Linked DNA regions of Arabidopsis thaliana. The protein of the gene in region 2 interacts with the protein of the main gene of each other region in a biochemical or structural test. Each region holds a gene or a part of one and is shown on either strand. Other genes may lie near its edges.

Region 1 (7,702 bases), on a different chromosome or scaffold from region 2:
GTTCATTGTTCTGTGCATAGCGTTAAGAATCAAAAGGAACACCGAATCATCCCAAGAGAGACACAACAGAACAGACAAATCAGGAAGAATATTACTCAGAATCCGAGTCAATGGAGAGGTACATCCGAGGTCTTACAGAACGCTTCTGGCGAGGAAATGAAAATGGATTATCTGATCTTTGCTTCTTTGCCTTGTCTTGTCTACTGTCATTCATACCCAGAAGCAACGACGCTGCAAATACGCAGTAATAGTCAGTAAGTATACCACATGGACTATGGACATATATAAAGTAGCATATTCAAAGACAAAATACGCCACATAGAAACTAAAACAGATATTTCTTCTTCAGTTGTTTATAAGACCTAGCTAGCAGCTTAGTAAAGTGATGAAAAAGGTAATGCAACATCAAGAACATGGTCCACATTTTTAGGTCCCTTTGATGTTTTCAGGAAAGCATTAGTCTCAGACAGGGAACAAACCAGTCTCTGTTGTAGTATCCATAGAACCTTCCCTCGTAGACATCTGATGGCTTGAGTTAATCCCGTTTGTAGTTGCAGGATCTCCATGATTCCCAGAGGCGCTATCGCCTAGCCTAAGCGAGATCCAGTCTTCACTACGGAGACCATTTGACATATCAGCTTGGTTTTTAAAACCCGACTGAGCTGAAGCATCTGGTTTTGTTGGCAAAAATATTTGAAGTGAGGGATCGTCTCTACCAAATGCAAGAGGATTGTCAACTAGGCCATCGTTTGCTTCAGATCGGCCAGTAGAGCCAGGAACCACAGGAACAGATGCCATTGATGTCTCAGGAGCCATGGTATAACCTCCATTTATTTCAGGAGAACAGTTTAGTGGACTATGATGATGCAAACCAACTAAACCTCCTGAAACGTCAGCATCAGATCTAAATAGTTGGAACCCAGGGGCTTCTGGAGTTTCAGAAGGAAATGACCAAAGGGGCGTATCAAATTCATCATCATCATTGAAAAGACCTAAGCCTGAACTTCCCCCAGCTATGCTGTGTGGGTCCTCATTATATGAGTTAATTATTCCAGGAGGGTTCAGTGGAAAAGTAAGTCCACCATCTGTTTGACAACCACTGTATGCAGGCCCTGGAGTGATCACTAAATCATTCTCGTCATCAGAATCACTCAGAACGATGACTTCATTATTTCCACCCTCGCCAGATTGGTTTCTGTCAGGAAAGTTATAACCTGAATCAACATTCATGGAAATGGAATCAAGTTCCATGCCGTTGGCTACAAAGTCAAAAGTTCCAATAGCATCCTGGTTTACGCTTGCATCATCACCATCCCTACCACTTCCAGTAGCACTACTACTCATTGGTATAATATTCTTCTCCTGATACCCAACCTTTTCTTGCCTATTACTGGAAGATAATCCATTTGTATTAGGTTTGCTAACTTCCCAAATGCCATTACGATTCTTCCTTATTCCAAGTTTTAGCGGGGCTGGACCATCTGAGTAACCTTCTTGCTTAACCGGTAACATTTCCATCTTCCGTTTAATATCAACAGCAGAGGGGCAAAGGCTACCATCAGGTGCATGCCACTGTGAGAGTTCCCCCAGTTCCCTTCGCTCACTCTCTCTTTTGAACTTTACACGCCAAGAACCATCAGGTTTCACTTCAATTTCAGTCACCTCTTCATCACAATGCTTCATCTGTCGTGCAGGAAGACAACTACTGAATAAAAGCGTAGATACAAAGATTTTAAGAATTCTTGAATTCCCATAAGAATACATACCTTAGACGTGATACGGTTAAAATAAGGATCGACGATTACATGCTCCACTGAGTAGTTCTTCAGACAAATAGGGCACTGCCACTGCATGTTAACAAACCCCAGAACAACTAAAGTCAGAAAACAAGAGACATAACCCAATATCTAGACAAGGATAGTAGACCTACCTTTCTGGAACGTTGATTCAACTCCACAAACACATCAAGGTCAAAACAGCCCATGTGCACACAGGGTAAAAATCTCCCAGCAACTTTTATCCTAGAACCGCTCATCTAATGACGCAAACAGAAAAGACAATAAAAAAAATTCAGTCTGCAAGATAGCCCTAGGAAGAGGATAAGTATAAAAACTGGGCTACGAGCTATTAGTAACTTACAGGACACCGAAGATTGACACCGAAGAAATCAGCAACAACTTCAATGTCACTATCACTGTCGGCATTATCATCTCCACCTCCACCTCCAATGCATCGGCGGACACGTGCAAGAGCATCTTCAAAAGTCTCCCCTTTACCCTCTTCTGGAATCAAATTTAGAACCTAGATGCAAAAATGAGTATATATATAAGCAACTTGGAGATCATTAGATCATTAACGTACAATATGAATTCCTCTGTATACAAGAACACCAACAAAAGTGATAAATATATTGATTAAAGGGATAAATGTTGCAGCACAAGGACAGACTACACTTCCGTAACCAAATCTCATACAAGGCCAGGCTCAGTGGCTCATATACGTGAAATATAGGAAGAAGAATAGGACTGTGAAATTTGAAATCTGACTAACTTTTCTAGATTTAGTGGGAGTGGGAAATAACATGGGAATAGTTTAACGTAAGTGTGTAACCACAGGTAACTTCCACAAAATTACTTTCTTGGGTACGCCAACATAATTTATTCTTTCTTTTTGTATTCAGAATATTAATTTCGTTCCTTTTTGAACATTTATGTTTGGACTCTTCATTGACCACATATACGACCAAATCTTTGAATGTTTCTTATGCATATATGTTATCAGTACCTGTTGTAGAGTCCTGCGCTTCACAAGTCTGACCCCAAAACAAAAAATCCGAACGTCACCTCCACTCAAGGATATTCTGTTAACTCCATCCCTAATACAAGATGTAATCTGCCAAAATAGTAAAATGAAATGGTTAAAACTTACATCACTGATTGCTAGATTTTCAATGTATGAGAGATTGACTCCTATATGTAATTCAAAAGGGTTACTACTCAAAAGGGATGATAAAAAACACACAATGGGTCCATCGTCGCGGCCGTTGACTCCCAAAAGCTGTCCTCCAGGTCGATTAATTGCACGTACAGGCACACCTATGAAATGATAGGGTATATATCATGAATCCCACATCAGAAACATACACAGTCTTATTGAGTATGATCAGAATAACAGACAAATAAAGACAATGTGAATGTGAATGGAATGTGCCCACAGGAATTTATGCAACATGAAATAAAACAACATTCCCCTGTTTCAAAGGAAATGCTCAACCGACTAAAACTCTGGTCGATGTCATTGTCATACCATTGACCTGCAGATCAGCATACTGAGGCCACTGCATCCTAAAGAGAACTTTATCATTCAAGAGCATACACCAAGCCTAAACAAAATTGATTTCCAGTTAGAAACGTATAGGTAGATACACCTTGACATATTAAATGTAGTTTACAAAACCCAACCTGAACATCGTACTCTGGTTTGGCCAAAAGGTCCTTGTCTGCCCTTGTGATTTGAAATGTTCTCTCCACACTCTGCATTGTGCTTGCACTGAAAAGTTTTGGATCGGAGTATTAGTACAAACAAAAGCCAGTAACAGTATTTCTTCAGCAGGTGCTATGCATATAGCCAGGAAACAATTGTCATTCTTGAAACTAGAATGAATGTCTTATACCAGTTCCAAGTAGAAAATTTAAAGTCAAAGTGACTTATAAAGTACCAATTCACACAATAATGGCACTGAAAGTACACTCGTTCAAAGCAATAGCAATATCAAGAATATAAAATTCTTACCCATCATTTGGGATAGTCGTTGCAGTCAGCCTCACTGGAGAGAGTGGATGTGCCACTGTAACCCAAAATCTGAACAAGGAAACCATGTAGGAAAACCGTGAATAATCATGCTATAGGATATCCACAGGTGCTAATGTAAAGATAGGAAATAATATATAAAAGAAAATTGACAACTATGAAAACAGTACTAGAAGAAGAAGAACAATCAAACGCAAAGAAACTAGAATGCAAAGCATGTCAAATGTATAAATATGTCTTTCTTTTCAGTTATGGCAGGAAAGAATCATAAAGCAGTGAGGGAGGAACTCAGATGGAAAATCAATCACATATCAAACTTAAACTCAGACAGGAAAAGTAAAATCCTTGAAACACATACGGGTCAGCTCGAGTAAGTCGGCAGATTTCACAATAAAATGATTCCGGAAGTGGTGGATTCCCATCCATAGGCTTATCTGGGAGAATAACACAGCCAACATGCTGCCAAACATGGCATCTTGGATCCTCACACTGAAATCGGAAGAAAAAAAACAAAAATTACAGCCAGAAAGTATCACCAAACTTCACAAATGTAATCAATGATAAATACATCACACCATCGACCATAAAATACAAAGAAATTGTCTACAGTCAGCTCAAACAGGAATAAACGCAGTGAGTTCATCCCAGATTACCTGTATCATTGAGTCTGTTTCTAGCGAGTTTCCACAAACACATCGAACTTTAATTTCTGGTTGGAAGGGGTCTTCAGGCTCTCCCTTAACTTTCAGATTACTGGTATCTGAACTCACTTGTCCTTTTGATGCTAAATCACTTGCCCCAGATACTTGCATTTTCCTATGGAACACAATATAAAATTAATGGTAACAAAGAACCGCCACAAAAAGCATGGCATCTCCTAAGAAATCTATTGAAAGAAACGAGCACTCACCTATATGTATCGTCCACTAATTTGGCAACTGCTTCCTTTGCCACTGTATTCTTTTTAGACAACAACCTGGCAGCTGTCAGTAGGGAATGAAAACGGAAGCTTATTAGAAGAAGATGGCAGAGCTAGCAGTGACTCTTAATACACCAAAACGTGAATAAACAAAAGCAAGTGGTTCATATAACCTTGTTCATCAGAAAGAAGGGTCAAGATCCGGTCGACAAGTTCCTGCACAAGAAAATTTCAAAAAGAAGTTAAATTTTTTGGTGAAAGAATAAAACAGATAACACTCTTTGCAAGGTAATGTCTTAGATTTATCTTGGAAACTGCTATATAGCTCAAGACAGCAATAATTATCACCCAAAACATCATCTTCTCTACTATAATCATTCCAAAACAATCACAAACATAATCACGACCAATGGAAGATTAGAGAACGATACTAACCTGCTTCTTTCCCTGTTTCGAAAGTCCCAGCTGAGTGAGCACATCCTTGAGCTCTTTTATCCGAAAATATGAAAGTTTTTCCTGCAACCCACAACAAAAACACAACGTTAAGCTTAACTAGAGCAAGACTAAATTCAATAACAGCAACCACGAACCATAATCCAAAACCCTTATGAGATAAAGGATCGTTTTTTACTCCCAGCAATACAATCTAGATCATAAACAAAACGGAAAAGCAAAGCTTTTTTGAAACATCCACTCTATATACCAATCAACACATTCATAACAAGTTCAAATCAACAAAAATTATAAACCAACAAGCATCCATAGATCTTTCAGACAATAATACCTTACAATTAGCTTCCAAATCCATGTCTTCAACACCAGACACAAACAAGAACCAAAAGCTCAGTTCAAAACACACGAACCTAAACTCCAGCAATTAGTCTCCATACAGCAACCGATCTAAATTAACAGAAAAAAAAGAAGGAGTTACTGAAACGAAAACCCTTGAAATTCCAAAAGACAAGACCTTTAAAGACTATTAAACGGAAAATACAAACCATGAAATCGGATACTTGATCAAACCCTATCGAAATTGATAGGTTAATGAGAGAATTGAGATGATTAGAAACTAGGGTTTTCACAGCTACGATAAGATTTTCTTTGGCCAAGGAAGAGGAAAATAAAAAGACAACCAAACCCAGACGAAGAAAAATCGATCCGCCGAGACGAAAACAAAACAAGGGTTGCCGGACGAGTCGCCGATTATCAAATCCGGTTTAATTTTCGCGCAATACGTCCGGGTTTAGTTCCTGTGTGGTCACGTGCACGGTCGTCCCCCCCACCAATATTGACGTGTTTTTGACTTTCGGTTCTCACACCACTTATTTACGACCGTAACGGAGTCTTTGTTATTTTAATCGAATATTCCCCACGTTTTATGACATCAGCCGTTCGATCAGACCGGACCGGTTTGTTATATTTTAACCTCAATTTGTTTATTTGCCGGTTTATAGTATATATCAAATCAATTTGGAAGTTTATCATCCGAAAACATGGTTTTCCATATGTCTCTCATGGCATATGTAGATATTGTATTATTTGATTCTAATTCTTCTAAGTAAGAATTTGGAAACATATTTCATGTCTCTTTTCTTCATTTGTTTTCATTGAATTGACATAGAATGTACATTGAATTGACATTTCTCACCCTCGCTAAATTCATTGAGAATTGTGGCTCAATTCTTCCATATGTGCATTATAGTTAAACTACGAATAAAGGATACAAGTGAGCAAAACCCTACTTTCAAGTTTCAACTAGTAAATCTATCGAATGGATTGCTAGACCGGATAATTCATACTCATTACGGGATGGTTCGTAAAACATGTGGGAAATTATCTTATATATCCACCAAATATTTGAGGTCTCGTAAGCATGTGATCTTGCAAATTGATACGTGGACCAAATTAGATATTGGACACATTTATATGTTCTTTCTATATGTAAAAAGCTTCATTCCGTGTGGAGTTCATTTGTTACAAGAAATGAGATATTATAGATATCAAATAGCATGAAGCTCTTTCTTCAACACTATTTCTACATACAAAAAAAAACATTATATACCAATTAGTGGTGGACTTCTGGTGATAAGATTTGGCTTTTTATCTTTTTGGATGCTGTGTTTTGAACAATGACTTGTCGAGTTTGAACCAAATTTGGTGTTAACCCGAGATATTAAAAAAAGGTTTAATTAGACCTATAGATTTTCCTTGTTCTGCTTAATGAAGATTCTAGAGTAGTCGTGAGCTGGTCTCATTGACTTGATATTTTTTTTGCTTCTAATGGAATGAGATATCTTGAGTTCATGATGTGGATAGTTTTCAAAGATTTGTCAACCTTTTCGTCTTAACATTTTTATATGTCCCTTGTCAAAGGCAAAGAAACATATCGAAAGTAAAAGAAAAGACATTTTTTTCTTGTGGGTGAGAATCAAACCAAACTTGTGAGAATTCTGCAAACGTACACAACTCTTAAATTGATAAAGCTTTTCTTGAAACTTTCAGGCTGAGGATGTGCTGCTAATCATGTGAGCTCCTTGCTGAGCTAACATTCAAAAGACCAAAACATATTTGAGCAAATAGCAAGAACCTATCTTGGAACAGATTATCATTTTAGGTAAGAGAAGACGATCTAGAGGCTCAAACCAAGGTCCTCTACGGAGCAGTTTCATTGTTTTTATGGTGTTACTATGTAAGTAGAAAGAGAATAGTTTATGAATATTAAGATGCATCTTTGTTAGAGGGTGATTATTGAACAACTGAAATACCTTGATCTCTCCGTATTAAGATGCATATATAAGGATTGCTACGTAGGAGAGATACCGTCACCACTAGTTAACTTCTTAGAAGAGGTGATGGCGCTATCTCTCCTGCGAAGCAAATCTTTATTTGCAGTTTTAAAACCATAGAAGAAGCAAGACCACTTGTATGTGTAATCACTCTATTAGTATCACCTCATCCATATATATATTATTA
Region 2 (5,522 bases):
GAAGTTATGAATCGTTGATATATGATTTTATTTAGATATATATATATATATATATCGTAACATTTTCTATCGGTTTAATAGCACACTATTTTTATATAGATATGATGTTCCTTTTGGATAACTTAGAACATAACTTGTGATGCTGTATTAAAATTCTAATCCTGTAATGGAGAAGAGTTTGGATGCTAGAAACATACTTTATAAACATGTACAATTTTAATAAGAACAAATTGAATATTAACTGAAAACTCTAAAGATTCTCAAACGATTGATATATTGTTAAACTAATCACCCAAAAAGGAAGAGTCTTCTAAATTACAAGTTAATAAAACAAATGAAAAAAGTAAATTCACTCCCCCTAATCTTAAATCATATATGTGGTGAAGATTAATATAGGAACTAATGGACGAGTTTGGTTTCAACTTGCACAACAGGAAACTACTTCGCTTTGGCTTTATTCTCTTTGAAAATGATTATTGGTGTCTAATAGCTGTAGAATTTTTATTTTATTTTTTAACGACAAAGACATATGAAAAAATGAACATATTCAAATTGATATTCATAATGTGAAGTAAACGCAGAAAATTCAATGTACGATAACCTAACCACAAAAATTTCTGAAATTACTTTTTGTATATTATTGTGAAAAAAAATATCGATCGTGAATACAACGAACACATTATATTTCCAAATCCAAGACTTTAAAGAACCAACATTATATACAAACAAATCCCTCAATACTTATTTAGAATCTATCATAACACTAGGCTTTTTGACGACTTAACGTTTTGACTTTGAAATATCTTGGCTTTAGACTAGAATATCAAGAAATCCTCCTTGATGTTATATTGCATCTTCTCCAAATTCGGCTGAACCGCAAACTGAATCATCGGTGGTGGTCCGCAAGCCATGGCAAGGGCTGAGCCATCTAATCCATCAGGGATATGTTCTCGCATAATCGCCTCGGAAATAAACCCGGTACTGTATGCCCAACCTTCCTTAGCTGATTCCACTACGTACCAAACCTTTAACCGGTCCGGGTATTGCTCTGCCCAACCATCCAGTTCCTCCCTTAGGAGAATATCTTCCTCGGTCCGGTTAGCATAAATGACGTACATTTCAGTCTCATCCTCTGGATCCTTGAGAATGGCTTGGATAATTTGGTAAACCGGAGTTATTCCGGTTCCACCTGCCAACATTGCCAATTTATCAGCAAACTTTGGTTTACCGTGAACCGTGAAACTACCCTTGCCGAGATACTCAACGTGACCCAATGGTCCTTTAATCTCCAAAGTTGACCCTATAGGCAAAGAGTCTAGGTACTGAGACATGAGCCCGCCGTTAGGGAATCTTGGGTGGACACCGCCAAAGTAAATCTTGACCACGAGCTCGAAGTAGCCAACCACATCAACGGTGCTGCTTGGTGTGTAAGCTCTGAGGCAGAGCTTGTCATTGATGGTGGCGCAAAGGAAAATGTGCTTACCAACCGGTAAGCCTAGAACCATATCCTCAACCGGTAAAGCAAACCGGAATTTACGAACATCATGAGAAATGGAAGTCTTTTCGACGAGTTGAACCGGGACTTTAGCCCGGGGATTAACCAAAGCGAGGTTCCTAACCGGAGTCGCCTCTCCAATGGGAGCCAACAGCGAGAACACGGCGGATGAACCGTGAACCGAGTTGTTAGGCGAGGAAGAGTCAGAGGAATAACCAGTGGTGATGAGCTCACCGATACGGTAATCCTCAAGCATCTTCTTGGCTTTATCCGAGTGAATGGCTTCAAACTCCTCCGTACAATCCGTACCAGCATTGATCAAGATTGAATCCGAACCACCCGGGTGATCCATAAGGAATCGTGTACAATCATAGATATGTCCATGGACAATGATCCAGCAAGAGTCAGCCGAATTATGCTTCTTGACCTCGGACATCGAGTACATCTTCGCAGTTGTGTTCATAAACGGCGTCGAGACAGACTTCTTTAGACTAGGAGGCGCGTCAGCCGATTTTTCGAGGTGACGTTCCTTCGCCATCCATCCACCAGATTCATTACCAGGAAGCGTTGGATGCTCGAACACAATCCCAATCTCTCCCTTGTGTGGCTTGCACACGTTAGTCTTCACTCTAAACCAGCAGTTATTCATCATCCCCATGAGATTCCATATCATTTTCTCGGGCTGCGTGTTGAGAGTCTCGTCCCATGCACGAACAGCAATCTCTTTGGCACTAAGCAAGTCCAAAACCTCAACCTCAAGTGACCAAAAACACCAACACCAGAACTTCCCATACTTGTTTGGCTTCTCTTGATGGTCAAGTGCACATACGTTCCATGTCTCTCCACCATCTACCGTGACCTCCACACGGGTCACTTTTTTTCCACCTCCTGTTTTTTTTTGTATAAAGATTATTGTTACTATTAAATTAAATCATCCTATGAAATAACGTATTTATTAAATTAAAATGTTAAAAGGACAAGTACCGGAATATGCGTAACCCTTTAAAGTATAAGGTCTTTGGGTTGTGAAAGCGTTGATGGGAAGAATCTCCTCGTGACATGGCGTCGTAATCACGGAGTTTATGTTTAGCTCGTTGATTATGTACTCTGGCTTATACCACCAACCTAAAACAAAACCATTGAATTTGAATTTATGTAAGTCACAGAAGCTGACATCATCCACCAACATTAGTTTTTCATTTTTTAATATGATTTCTGTTTTTGTTTTTCTCCTATAGGTTCGGAGACTTTTTAAACATATCAATTAGTTCATCTTAATGAGATTTATTGAAGCAAAAAGATTTTATGTACCTTCTTCGTCGGCGAGTTCGGCGTCTACCAAAGAAGGTAAAACTCTGTTGTCCTTGAAATGGTAGAAATTGTCGGATTCTTTAGTTGTGACAATGATTCGTTTCAACCATTTAACCATCCGGCCACCAATGAAACCGGGGATGATGATCCGAACCGGAAAACCGTGGTCTGGTGTTAGATACTCTCCGTTTTGCATATAAGCCAAAATGATGTCTCTTGATGGATCCATGGCATATTCCTTCTTGATGCTCGTTCCGTATTTGGAACCAGCAGTTCCGGCACCGCCCGGAAGATCCTCCGACCCTTCGAAGCAGACGTTGAGAGCGCCGCCTTTTCGGCTAAAGATCCCGCAGCGACGCAGTACGTCGCAGAGAGGGACACCACGCCACACGGAGGTGGAAACTCCGGCGGATCCCCAGTTGAATCCCTTTGACTTCTTCACCATGTTCTGTTCCTTACGGCGGTTCCCCGCGCAGACTAGCGTCGCGGCGAACTCGCGGTAAGCAAACTCGGAGACGAGCTGGTCCATGGTGAATTTCATGGGCCGTTTGACGAATCCGGTCACCTCGACCGTCCATTCGGCCCATTGGGCTTTAGGGACGTGGCCGTGGTTACGAACGTAGTGCAACGGGACAGGGGTGATAAACCCGTGGTGCATTAAACGGTTAAGAGGCGCCTCGGAGTTGAAGGGATGTTTCCCTGTGAGACGTACCATGGAAGGGTTACGCTCGATCCAGCTATCAGCCGTGTATTCGTCCCTCGGGTCCAAAACGGACGGTTCAAGCTCGGCGTTGGATTTTCTTATCATCTCCTTGTAGTACACGGCGTTGCTGTTGTGTGTCTCGTTCTCGTCTTCGCTCGACACGTCTTCGTCATCGTCATGAACCTTGGCTGGTTTCAAGAACACGGTTTGGTTGGTGGTTTGGTTCTGGTGCGCCTTAGGGGAATCGGACCGGCCTGGAACGGGAGGTTTGTAAGAACGAACCACGCCGTTCAAACCTGGCTCGAGACGAGCGTATTGGCGATTATCTACAGAGGCCGCCATGTTGGAAAGTGTATAATCGTAAATAATGTAGAAAGCAGAGCCTTTTTCTCTCTCTATCTCTCTCTTGTGAGTGAGATGAGATCTGAGGACGAAAATGCATCGTTGGTGGAGATGAAGTTATATAGGAGAGAGCCTAGTGGTATGCTTTTAGGAAGTATCGTGCCGAATCACACGTATGGGACCATTTGTGACTTTTTAATTTTTTTCTTACACACTTACTATTAATTTTTTCTTATGACTTGACTTAATTAAATAAACCATCCATTTGTTTGACAAAAATAAACGATCATAGTTATTCAATAAGCTTAAAATGATCATTTTTGTCCCTATTTGTTATAAAACAAATGTGAATTGTTGGAGTAGTTTTGTAAATACTTTTAACGTCTCGGAAACATGTATAGATTTTTTTTTGTCAACTAAGAAATGATGACAATTGAATAATATATTATTATCTATCATTGGTTATTTCCTGTAATACAATATAAAAATGTGATCAAAACATTTTCCTTTTTATTTTAGTCGAATTTGTTTTACTAAAAAATATGTTTTCTTATTCGTGACACAAAGCCGTATTTATTTTTAATGGAAAAATAACGATAAAAGATGACAAAATAATTAAGAGCAATAAAATTAGTAATACAAAAATCGTGGTGATAATATTTTCATACTATTAATTTTAATAGTTTTTGTGATCGGTAACTATTAAAACCGTATATATATATATATATATATATATATATATATATATATATATATATATTTTGTAAACCGTATATTTTTTACCAGTAAATTAAAGAATTATCAATGTGTTAACATAGGAAGAACGTTCCTTTTATTATTGAGATTTGATAATCCTTTTACCCCTGGTTCTAGTTTAGAAGTTTATCAATGTTCTTATATCCTTCAGTTAAACATAGGAACAACGTTCCTTTTATTCTTGAGATTTGATAAATCAATTAAACATATTATCAGAAAAAATCTAATAATCATACAATATTTATTTTCTTATTAAACGTTATTTTCAGTAATATTTTCTTATTAAACTGTTTTTTAGTAATATTTTTTTTTGATAAAATTAACAGATGTGATTTTCAGCAATATTGATGAGATATTAATTATTGAGTAATCTAATTTTTTGTATACATTATTATAACCTAAAATAGTTCCTTGAATCATCTAAAAGTTTAAAATACCTATGTATGAATGTTGGAAAATGAAAAAAAAAAAAAAACTGAATGATGGAAAATGATCACGTTCATCTTTTTCCTTAAAATAACTACAAAATTATTTCTCTTTTTGATCAAGATGCAACATTACAGCCACCTATATATTAGTATTACTGTTATTATTGTTTTTCTTCGGAAAGAATGGCGGTGACTAATCAAAACCGACGGAGCCACGGGTTCAGCAGATTCAGTGGGTAAATCTTTCTTTATTTAAGACTTTTTTTTGTTGAAAATTTCATTGAGTAAATATTGAATATTGATTTTCTTGTGAACTTCTAATTTTGGGTAACCAATATACATCTTTATTTTTTTTATATATATATATATATATATACTTCTTCTGTTATAATATATAAGATATTTCACTAAAAAGACAAAGTTTAAGATATTAATTAATATTTTTACATTAAAAAACATATTTTGATATTTAATTAAAGAGAGTTTG

The links.
Region 1: of the proteins of NIA2 (region 2) and SIZ1, one has a biochemical effect on the other in vitro, tested with the Arabidopsis thaliana proteins (one study listed by BioGRID).

Annotation. Positions count from the first base shown.
Region 1 is NC_003076.8:24,293,061-24,300,762, reverse strand, and holds the start of SIZ1 (DNA-binding protein with MIZ/SP-RING zinc finger, PHD-finger and SAP domain-containing protein), read right to left. Parts: upstream 6,003-7,702; 5' UTR 5,728-6,002; intron 5,630-5,727; 5' UTR 5,538-5,629; coding exon 5,514-5,537; intron 5,246-5,513; coding exon 5,165-5,245; intron 4,946-5,164; coding exon 4,903-4,945; intron 4,794-4,902; coding exon 4,721-4,793; intron 4,627-4,720; coding exon 4,464-4,626; intron 4,300-4,463; coding exon 4,169-4,299; intron 3,862-4,168; coding exon 3,793-3,861; intron 3,550-3,792; coding exon 3,462-3,549; intron 3,383-3,461; coding exon 3,307-3,382; intron 3,096-3,306; coding exon 3,022-3,095; intron 2,893-3,021; coding exon 2,785-2,892; intron 2,302-2,784; coding exon 2,140-2,301; intron 2,036-2,139; coding exon 1,931-2,035; intron 1,848-1,930; coding exon 1,767-1,847; intron 1,684-1,766; coding exon 480-1,683; coding exon of another isoform or gene 463-479; exon of another isoform or gene 232-462; coding exon 96-231; coding exon of another isoform or gene 92-95; exon of another isoform or gene 11-91; coding exon 1-10. UniProt on the Arabidopsis thaliana protein: E3 SUMO protein ligase involved in regulation processes. Mediates SUMO/ attachment to PHR1, a MYB transcriptional activator controlling the phosphate deficiency responses.
Region 2 is NC_003070.9:14,156,946-14,162,467, reverse strand, and holds NIA2 (nitrate reductase 2), read right to left. Parts: upstream 4,017-5,522; 5' UTR 3,852-4,016; coding exon 2,807-3,851; intron 2,621-2,806; coding exon 2,480-2,620; intron 2,384-2,479; coding exon 816-2,383; 3' UTR 530-815; downstream 1-529. UniProt on the Arabidopsis thaliana protein: Nitrate reductase is a key enzyme involved in the first step of nitrate assimilation in plants, fungi and bacteria.